3 linked regions of the Cricetulus griseus genome follow. The protein of the gene in region 2 interacts with the protein of the main gene of each other region in a pairwise test. Links are inferred from orthologs where the notes say so. Each region holds a gene or a part of one and is shown on either strand. Other genes may lie near its edges.

Region 1 (3,519 bases), on a different chromosome or scaffold from region 2:
AGAGCTGACTTGAAGCAGGATTAGGTAAATCACTTAAGGAAAGCTAAATTAAAGAATGAAAATACTCACTTATAGGAAAGACATGATTCATAAAAGGATTCTGTGAGACAAAATAGAAACTACAATTCACATAGAAATTAAGTGGGAATTACATAATAATATGGATATTACTATTGCTAGTAACATACAGTAATGCTTGGCTAGTAAAATCCTTTCTTCAGTTATCATCTAGGGATCTAACTGGTCTGTCTAGTTGGTCTCCACCACCACTCTCATTCTCAAGACTCTCTCCCCTCTGTCTGCTTCTGTTTACATTGCCTTTTCCTTGTGTGCCTAACACCATTAACAGTCCCTTCTTCCACCCAGTCCTAAAATATCTCTGCTCTGAGGTGGAACACTTCATAGCTCACTTTATCAGTGCACCCCCCTTCCAGAGCATCCTCTGTCCCTGTCCCTTGCAAACTGTTGTTGCCCCCCCTCTCTCTCTCTCTCTCTCTCTCTCTCTCTCTCATATGTGTGTGCCTCTCCCTCCATACCCTTTCCCTGAAACAGCTGCCCTCCCTTAGAAATATTCCCCTCATGCATGAGAATTCATCTATGCACCACCTTTTTTTAAAATTAAAACAATCTTATTTTACATAGCAATCCCAGTTCCCTCTTATTCCATTCCTCCCACTATACCCCATCCCACCCCCATCCACTCCTCAGAGAGGGTGAGACCTCCCATGGGGGATCATCAAAGTCTGTCACATCATTTGGGGGAGGGGCTAGGCCCTCCTCTGTGTATCTAGGCTGAAAGAGTATCCCTCAATAGGGAATGGGCTTCCAAAGCCCATTCGTAACCTAGGGACATATACTGGTTCCACTGCTAGAGGTCCCATAGACATCCTAGGGCTCCCAACTGACACCCACGTTCAAAGGGCCTGGTTTGGTCCTAAGCTGGTTCCCCAGCTGTCAGACTGGGATCCATGAGCTCCCACTTGTTCAGGTCAGCGGTTTCTGTTGGTTTCCCCAGCATGGTCTTGGTCCCTTTGTTCATCACTCCTCCCTCTCTACAACTGGATTCCAGGAGTTCAACTCAGTGCTTAGCTATTGATCTCTGCTTCTGCTTCCATCAACTACTAGATGAAGTCTCTAGGATGGCATTTAACCTAGTCATCAATCTCATTATAGAGGGAGAGAATTTAAGGTAGCCTCTCCAGTATTGCTTAGATTCTCAGTTGGGGTCATCCTTGTGGATCCCTGGAGATTTCCCTAGTGCCAGATTTCTTGTTAGGCCCAAAGGTCCACTTGAGATGCCCCACTTCCATTCTCATCCCTAATCCTCCACACACAATCAGCTATACATGAAATTCGTAGTGCTCTTACCTACATCTTAATTGCACTCTACTCTGAAAGTAACGGTTGCCCTATCTATATTCTCAACTATGTTATCAGCTCCTTGGAACAGAGAAGAAATTTTTTGTTTGTATTTTGTTTACTTTCATATAAGCAAAGTCATAATCAGCATTTGACTTTGAATTCAGCAGATGGACAACTGGCAAGAGATAAAATATCAGGAAATGTCATGCATTAGTTAGTCCACAATGGCTCAGCTATATCTGTCTTGATGTCACTGTAGCTGACTTAGGTCAGTTCAGTCTCTTCACTAAGAAAACTGAACAGGCCAAGTGTGGTGGTGCACACATACATATATAAGGGGGCTACTGCAGGAAAATTTTGAGTTCAAGGCCAGTTTTGATTGCACTGTGAAGTCCACACCAGCTTGCTCTCCACGGCAAGACCCTGACAAATAAAATTAAATAACAAAAAACAAACCACAGTCTAGAATCCTTCCTGTATCCTTCCTTACAAACCAGAATCTGCCACACATACAATTTACTTAGGTCAATAAACTCTTTAACCCTGTGCCTACAGATATCAATGAATGTGAGACCACTAATGAGTGCCGAGAAGATGAAATGTGCTGGAATTATCATGGCGGCTTCCGTTGTTACCCACGAAACCCATGTCAAGATCCCTATGTTCTAACATCAGAAAAGTAAGAAACATTAGAGCCTTTATATTAAAAGTCAGAAGTTTCTGGTCCTCCTGAGCCAAACTGGTGACCACTTCTGTGTTTGTCTCTGCAGCCGATGTGTTTGCCCAGTGTCAAATGCTATGTGCCGAGAGGGGCCCCAGTCTATAGTCTACAAATACATGAGCATCCGATCTGACAGGTCTGTGCCATCAGACATCTTCCAGATACAGGCCACAACTATTTATGCCAACACCATTAATACTTTTCGGATTAAATCTGGAAATGAAAATGGAGAGTTCTACCTACGAGTAAGTATGCTTAGACAGTATTGGCTGGTGGAAAGGTGGCTGTTCATTGTGTTCGGTCACATGGGAGTTGATCTAAAACCTGGGAGTTTCCCAGGTAGGCATTGTGTCCAGCCTCCTGGGGTACATGTGGCAATACTACCAGATATTAAAATCTAATCTTTACAAGCCACCCCAAACTCAAGCCATAGAATCTAATAAAGCTATGTGTGACTTCCCCAAAATACAAGCATGCCCCAAACAGGTACTACAAATGCATGCTGTCTAATTGTACAGAGAAAAACACTGAGAGTTTTTCTTGTGATAAAGTTTGTGGGTTGTTTTGATGTTTACACATTTAATCTGTCCCTTGATATATTAACTTCCTCCTTGCTCCAGAGTAACAGGATTCTATTTCTTTGCCAAAAATTAGAATTGATTAATTTCTCAGAGCCAATTTCATTTTTATCATTTTTTATTTTAAAACAATCTTCTCATTTTACATACCAATCCCAGTCCCCACTCCCTCCTCACCTCCTGCTTTCCACACCTCCTCCCACCCCACCCTTCATCCACTCCTCAGAGATGGTGAGGCTTCCCATGGGGAGTCAACAAAGTCTGACACTTCACTTTGAGGCAGGACCAAGGCCCTCCCCACTGAATCTAGGCTGAGTAAGATAGCCCTCCAAAGAGAATGGGCTCCAAAAAGCCAGTTCAAGCACTAGGAATAAATCACGGTCCCACTGTCAGTGGCTCCACAGACTGCCTATGCCACACAACTGTCACCCATATTCAGAGGGCCTACTTTGATCCTATGCTGGTTCTCACTCTGTCAGTGTGGAGTCAATGAGGTCCCACTAGCTCAAGTCAGCTGTTTCTGTGGGTCACCCCAAAATGGTTTTGACCCATTTGCTCATATTATTGTTCCTCCCTTTCTTCGACTGTACTCTGAGAGCTTGATCCAGTGCTTAGCTGTGGATCTCTGCATCGCTTCTATCAGTTGTTGAATGAAGGGTCTATGATGATAATTCAAGTAGTCATCAATTGGGGAAAGCTAGTTCAGACACCCTCTCCACTAATGCTGAGGGTCTTAGATGGGGTCATCCCTATGGATTCCTGGGAAATTTCCCTAGCGCCAGGTTTCTTGATAGCCTCATAATGGTTCCCTCTATCAAGATATTGCAGAGCCAATTTCTAAAGGCAAAAACTCAACTC
Region 2 (4,026 bases):
ACAGCTACCCTGTCTCGAAAAACAAAACAAAACAAAACAAAAACAAAAACAAAAATGAATAAAGTCTTAAAAACATTTTTTTTGAAGCCAGGTGGTGGTGAACATCTTTAATCTTAGCAGACTCTGTGAATTCTAGGCCAGACTGCTATACAGATTGAGTTCCAGGATAGCAAGAGGTACACAGAGAAACCTGGGGGGATGACACACCTGATACACCCTCAAACAACCATTTCCACCAATGGCAAGTAATACTGGGTTGGGATCCAGGGTCTGGGAAGATAACTAATGAAGAAGTAAGAAGGGAGCCCAGGAGGTTTCCTAGAGTTCAGGGGTAGGTACTTTGTGCTAGGTCCAGGGTTCAACACCAGTAGGAACATCCCCCCCCCAATAAGGGGAGGAGGGAAAATGAAGAACCCAAACAAACCAACGTGGTAGCACACACCTGAGACCCCCAAATTTGGGAAGCAGAGACAGGAGGATGACGAATCCAAAAGACAATCAGTTCTAAGACACTTAAAACCCTACCTCAGCCAGGCAATGGTGGAGCACGCCTTTAACCCCAGCACTCGGGAGGCAGAGGCAGGCGGATCTCTGAATTTGAAGTCAGCCTGGTCTACAGATAAAGCTCCAGGACAGAGAGGGCTACACAGAGAAACCCTATTGGGGAAAAACTAAACAAAACAACCTAAAACAAGTCAGGTATGCTACACCTAAAATCCTAGCACAGAGGATGGAAGTCAGAAGGTCAAAGCCAGCCTGAGCTCTATGAGGTATTGCTGTCCCTACCACCCCCAAAAAGAATCTTCCAAATTAGACAGTAACTCTTGGTAAGGGCCATCAGACACCTACTCACGAAAGTGTACCCGGTGTTCCCAATGTTTTATAAAACCACGAAAGTGACCCGTTCATGATTTGTTCCCGAAAAGATTTATGCAGTAAAGACAAAGATAACTGTGCCCACACTGCACCCTGTAAGCTCGGGAGGTTCAAACCACCCCTCAAGATATTGGCAATCCTCCTGAACAGAGCACAAAAGCAGGCTCCCGGGATCTATAAATACAGTGTTAAGGCCGAGAACAAGTTGTTCAAAGACAGAGCAAACACAGCACACTTGTCTGAGGCCCCGGTGCTGCTTCCGGTCCCCCAGGCCGGAATCATCCGTGTCCCTGTGGGCAGAGGTCCGCCCAGGCCAGGTACAGATTCCTCCGCGGCATTTCCCTCTCCACCGAGCTCCACCGAGGTGAAGGCGGGCGGAACAAAACCTGCCTCACTCAACGGTAACCACACCTCCTCACTCAACAGGAACATCAGAGGTTCTACCGAGGGAGGGACAAAGGAGTCGGTGACAAGACAAGCAGGCTCGCCCCTCGGAAGGCACACGAGCGAAGCGGGCACACACACCGCCGCCTCTCCCCCCGCCTCACCTGGGCCCCCACAATGAACGTCCGAGTCTGAGAGTCCAGGGTCTTCACCAGGACCTCCAGGCTGTCGGGCTCCTCCATAGCGGTCCTGGCACTATCGCTCGGCTCCATGGCCGACAGCTCTCTACGGAGAGACGAGGGAGGGAGGGGGTGGTTCGCCGCCGCCCGCTCGCTCGCCCGCTCGCCCGTCAGTCCGTCCGCCCGCCCGCCCCGCCTTCTACACACCCGGAAGAGCGTCCGGGCCCGGCCTCCGCCCCGATCCCTCTCAAAGTTTCTCATACACAAACACATCCACTCGTCCTCGCCCTCATCGCCCCCTCCTCGGCCCCGAGGCCCGGGAGGAGAAACACAAAGGGCAGGAGGGGGACGGCACCGGGAGGCGAAGGGCGAGCGGTGGGAGGGGCTCCACGGTGCCAATCACGGTCGGGAGAGCCAGTTGGGCTACGAGCCGGGCAAGCAAGCACGAGACCGACCGGACACCAGTTGTCATCACCGGTCGCGACCCAGCAAGCGCCCGAGAGAGCGGGAGAGCCGAGGACAACGCGAGGGGGGGGCGGGGGGAGGGTCGGGTCGCGCCGCGCCGCGCCGCGCTCGGCGGACAAAGTGGCTCCGCGCACGCGCGCCACGGCGATCGAACCCGCCTCAAGCACCACAGGCGCCGGGGACGCGGACACTCACGGGAGCCCGACCGGCTCGCTGGCCGCCCGTCCTTCCGCCTCCGCCTCCGCCGGCGTTGCAGCAGCAGCGCGCGCGGCCCGACACGCGGCCCCTCACATACAGACACACGGACACACAGACACACGCACACACACGCACGCACGCACGCACGCACACACACACACGGCGAGGCGCGGCGCAGCGCCCCGCGGCTCCGCCCCCCCCGCCGGCTCCCCGCCGTACCGTCACTTCCGGCCTCCCCCAAGCGGGCACCACAGGCCACTTCCGTTTCCCCGATCGTATTTGGGGCTCTCGAGGCGGTACTTCCGGCTCCCCCAGGCTCCCCCCAATCTGCTTCTGCGGGGCACGACGAGGAAGTCCGCAGCCCCAGACAGTGAGTTCCCAGGGGCCGAGACGGGCCGGGGCCGGCCTAGATGGGAGGGAGCCGACCACCCCGAGGAGCCGCCGCCGCCGCCGCCGCCGTCGCCCGGGGGACCGCACTGCGCCTGCGTGAGCCGCGCGGCGCGTGCGCACACCGCAGCCCCGCCCCCCGCCCCGCCCCGCCCCGCCTCGCCTCGGGCTGCGTGCGTTTCTCCGCCGCCCCCCGCCCCCACCCCCACGGCGCGCGCCCCGCAAGCGCCGCACGGCCGAGGTGGCCGCCGTAACGCCTGAAGGAAACCCTCGCTGAGCGGGATGCCGCCCCTACCCGGAGAGACGCTGTGGACGCCCGTGGGGGACTCGTGGGGCTGTTGCACGCCGTGCGCCTGCGTCCGCGTTGGGCGGGCAGAGGAAACGCACGGGCACAGCCCTAGCCACCTAAGCCCCGGCAGGGCCTCTGGTCCTCCCGCACTGCCTGCGCTCCCGGAAGCCGCTCCCCCCCGCCCCCCGCCGCCCGACGGTTGGACGTTCCGTGGGCCGTGTGCGCTCGCACCCGAGCCGGACCGGGCGGCTGCGCGCCTCGCAGACTGTGGCGTGTGCTGAGGGTCGTTGGTTGGTCGAGGGCGCCCGAGGGAGCGCCATGGTTCAAGACCACCGAGCGTTTCGCCGCTGGTGGAAGCGGGGCCGGCGCGCGCCTGTGACCCCGGCCCCCGGAGGCCGGCCTGGGCTACGCCGGGAAGCGCTAGCGCTCTGGAAAAGACAAGACCAAGCAAACCCCCAGCGCGCGTGCCCGGGCCACAGGGTTAAAGGGCGAGAGAAGGGGTTGGGGGTTCCCCGCTCATCCCCGCCGGCAGTGAGCACTGTTTAGTGAGCAGTGGTTGCTTTGTCCCAGCCTGAATGCTGAGGCTTTCACCGTGTTCCCCTGAAGTGCCTGGAACTCCTCACGCCCCACAGCCCCACAGCTCCACGCCACTGCCCGGGGCTGGCATTAAAGTCGCCCTGTGGCACCCGGCCAGACGTCATTTATTTATTTTTCTGAAACGCGGTTCTCACTATGTAGATCTGGCTGTCCCGGAACTCAGGGATCCACCCACCTCTGTCCTAAAAACATTTTTTTGGAGGGGGAAGGGGGGGCGGCGGGCTATGTGCCTTGCATCTACCACAGCAGCCTAAGTGTGGAGAAACATACCGGAGTCCCCTTCCCACTGTGGGGACCTGGGGATCAAAGCCAGGTCCTCAGGCTTGGCTTGGTATCAAGCACCCTAAACCCACCTTTTAGTGTGTCCTCATAAAATTGGAAGGGCTGGAGTGGGAGGGCACTTGCCCGGCAAGCCCAAGGCCTTGGGTTTGATCCCTTGCTCCCACACACAAGCCTGAGCATCACTCCAATAGAACGGTCATGCCTATCACCGCCCACGTTTTTGTGATTGCTTTGTAGCAAGATAGTAAGTACCAAGGGTGGCCTGAATGGCAGTCGGACTCTGGCCAGCGTGAGTGTGTCCAGCATGGATCTGGCGATCCTTACCCTTCTCTTACTCCCTCTCCCCTGCTCAAAACTGTTAGGTTACAT
Region 3 (2,317 bases), on a different chromosome or scaffold from region 2:
GGGAGAGTCTAAATCAAAGATCAAGATGGCTCAGTAAATTAGTGTTTGGGTTTTTTTACACTGTGCTAGTTTTCTTGAATATTTTAGTTTAATTTCAAGATCTTTGCATTTACAATAAATTCAATACTTTCCATGGTTTCATTGTGACAAAGTGGGCCTCATACTTGCTTTTTAACACAAGAATAAATGAAATAACATTCTGAAGCACTTTTTTGGCTTCTTAATAAAATGTTATTTTCTTAGATATTTTCAAGTCAAACTTATAAGTATGATGCTCATATTACTAACAAGTTTTCCCTTGTAAATAGTGTACATTGTTCATTTACTGAATTTATTGAAGTAATAAGCATAAATAATGTTAGTTTGATTTTTTGTGTGAAACATAATCCCTCAAGATATCATATTATACCTTAATATAGAGATTAAACTCTATAGTTGCCTCCCTATTGTCAAGGATAGTCAAGAGATGACTCTGTATAGTACACGGGTTTACAAACAATGGCCCAAATCCATATCATGAACTAAGGATTAAAGACTATTAAACTATAAATCTGTGGTTCCTTTTTAAATCTAACTTTCTTTATCAGAGTTTATCTATCTATTTAAATTGAATCCTAAGGGAAAATTTATTTATTTGCTCAGCAAATAGGAAAAAACACTTATCAAATAATCTTTAACATTAGCAACAGAAACATTTTAAAGTAAAAAATCTTGGCTTTGTTAAGCACTGATGGTCTGCTTATCAAATATTAGTTAAAGCATCTTTAAATTACCTTTCATACTTTATAAGAGGCTTAAAGTTTCAAGTAACAGGTATAGGTAGACGATTTCTGAACACTAAACTGAAAAACCTGTGTATTTTGATGATGAATGAATGCATTTCCTTCCTAAGCAAGCTTTTGAATGGCGATTCACTAACAATCTGAAGGGAACAATGAAGTAGCTTCCTCCAGATCTCTAACAGTGGGAGTCAGTGAGTGTGAGAACTTACTTCTTGTTTAAGATCATCTGTTTCTTCAGAGGACACGACATTCTGAAGAAGAAAGGCCACATATTAGCATACACCACACATGCTCAGCTGCTTAGTTCAAAGTTATTCTTTTCAGTCTAAAGCTGGTCACTTTTTTTTTAGCCTGGATGATGATTTACAGTGGGACAAACCACCATAGTGTATGCATTGTTCTTCTAGGCACTCATTCACCTAGAAGCAGGAAAACCCCACTTACTAGCTTGTATGGTTTGATTAGTAGCTGTCTATTATCATTGTTAGGTGTTTTGCTTGTTTGTTTGTTTTCATATTGTTTTATCATTTATTTGTTTTATTTTTGTGGTCGGTATTTTGCTTGCCTTGTATTAGTGTACTGTGTGCATGCTGTACCTCAGGAGATCAGAAGATAGCAGCAGATTCCCTGGAACTAGAGTTACAGAAGGTTGAAAGCTGACATCTGGACACTAAGAACTGAACCAGGGTCCTCTGCAAGAGCAGCCAGTGCCCTTAATAGCTGTCCCATCCCTCCAGCTCTGTTTCAGTTTTGAGAAATTGAAAAACAATACCTGTGGGGCTAGGAGATTTTGCTTCTGAGATGGGTCGGTTTCCAGCCATGTGGCTACAGCATCTGTATGTTTGCTGTAATGCTATTAAAAAAAAGTGTGTGTTTGTCATTATTAAAAAATAAACAAAGGGATCTGCATGCCACAAGCTTATAAAATGACTATAGTTTCTACTCCTGAAGGAAAAACATAATATATACTCATACTTCCATGCAAAACTTCAGAGATTATAAAAATATAACTTATTTTTTTTATTGATTCATTTAATGGTACTCTAAATAGCATTTACTATGGGACTTGGCTGTTTTCAAAGTGATTTATAAATATAGCTTCAGTCCTTTCAACTCCTTATGCGGTAGACATCAATATTTACCTGTTAATACCAAAGAAGAAACTCAGCCACATTGTGGCTAGGCAGTAAGAAGTGGCAGAGCCAGCATTCAAACCCAAGCACACTTCCTAGTCTACCTTTGCTGGATGAAGTTTTCTCCCAGGTAAACACCCTTAATTACTATTGATCCCATTGTTTTCTCTCCATAGGACAAAGAGGAATTCTCCAAGGCAGTACTTCATATGCTGGTGTCCTTAGCTATAGGTAGCTATTTAAATGTAAGTTTAGATTAAATTAAATGTAGTTAATTTCAATATGAATTAAGATAAAAAACAAAGAACTGAATCTCTCCATTGAACTAGCTACTCAAGTCTAGTGGTTAGCAGATAGCCATTGCATAAAAATTCTATTGTACCAAGCTGCCAATGGTGGAAA

What was found. The genes of interacting proteins can lie anywhere in the genome.
Region 1: the proteins of Bag6 (region 2) and Efemp1 interact in binary tests that used the Homo sapiens proteins (3 or more experiments, as listed by UniProt). The two-hybrid records come from large-scale screens. The link is inferred for Cricetulus griseus from reciprocal best matches to the Homo sapiens genes BAG6 and EFEMP1.
Region 3: the proteins of Bag6 (region 2) and Spp1 interact in binary tests that used the Homo sapiens proteins (3 or more experiments, as listed by UniProt). The link is inferred for Cricetulus griseus from reciprocal best matches to the Homo sapiens genes BAG6 and SPP1.

What each region holds. Positions count from the first base shown.
Region 1 is NW_023276807.1:78,368,397-78,371,915, reverse strand, and holds part of Efemp1 (EGF-containing fibulin-like extracellular matrix protein 1), read left to right. Parts: intron 1-1,917; coding exon 1,918-2,041; intron 2,042-2,132; coding exon 2,133-2,328; intron 2,329-3,519. UniProt on the Homo sapiens protein: Binds EGFR, the EGF receptor, inducing EGFR autophosphorylation and the activation of downstream signaling pathways. May play a role in cell adhesion and migration. May function as a negative regulator of chondrocyte differentiation.
Region 2 is NW_023276806.1:231,657,472-231,661,497, reverse strand, and holds the start of Bag6 (large proline-rich protein BAG6), read right to left. Parts: upstream 2,809-4,026; 5' UTR 2,785-2,808; intron 2,581-2,784; exon of another isoform or gene 2,322-2,580; intron 2,291-2,321; exon of another isoform or gene 2,100-2,290; intron 1,789-2,099; exon of another isoform or gene 1,647-1,788; intron 1,546-1,646; 5' UTR 1,533-1,545; coding exon 1,425-1,532; intron 1-1,424. UniProt on the Homo sapiens protein: ATP-independent molecular chaperone preventing the aggregation of misfolded and hydrophobic patches-containing proteins.
Region 3 is NW_023276807.1:166,254,805-166,257,121, reverse strand, and holds part of Spp1 (osteopontin), read right to left. Parts: intron 1,636-2,317; coding exon 1,555-1,635; intron 1,034-1,554; coding exon 992-1,033; intron 9-991; coding exon 1-8. UniProt on the Homo sapiens protein: Major non-collagenous bone protein that binds tightly to hydroxyapatite. Appears to form an integral part of the mineralized matrix. Probably important to cell-matrix interaction.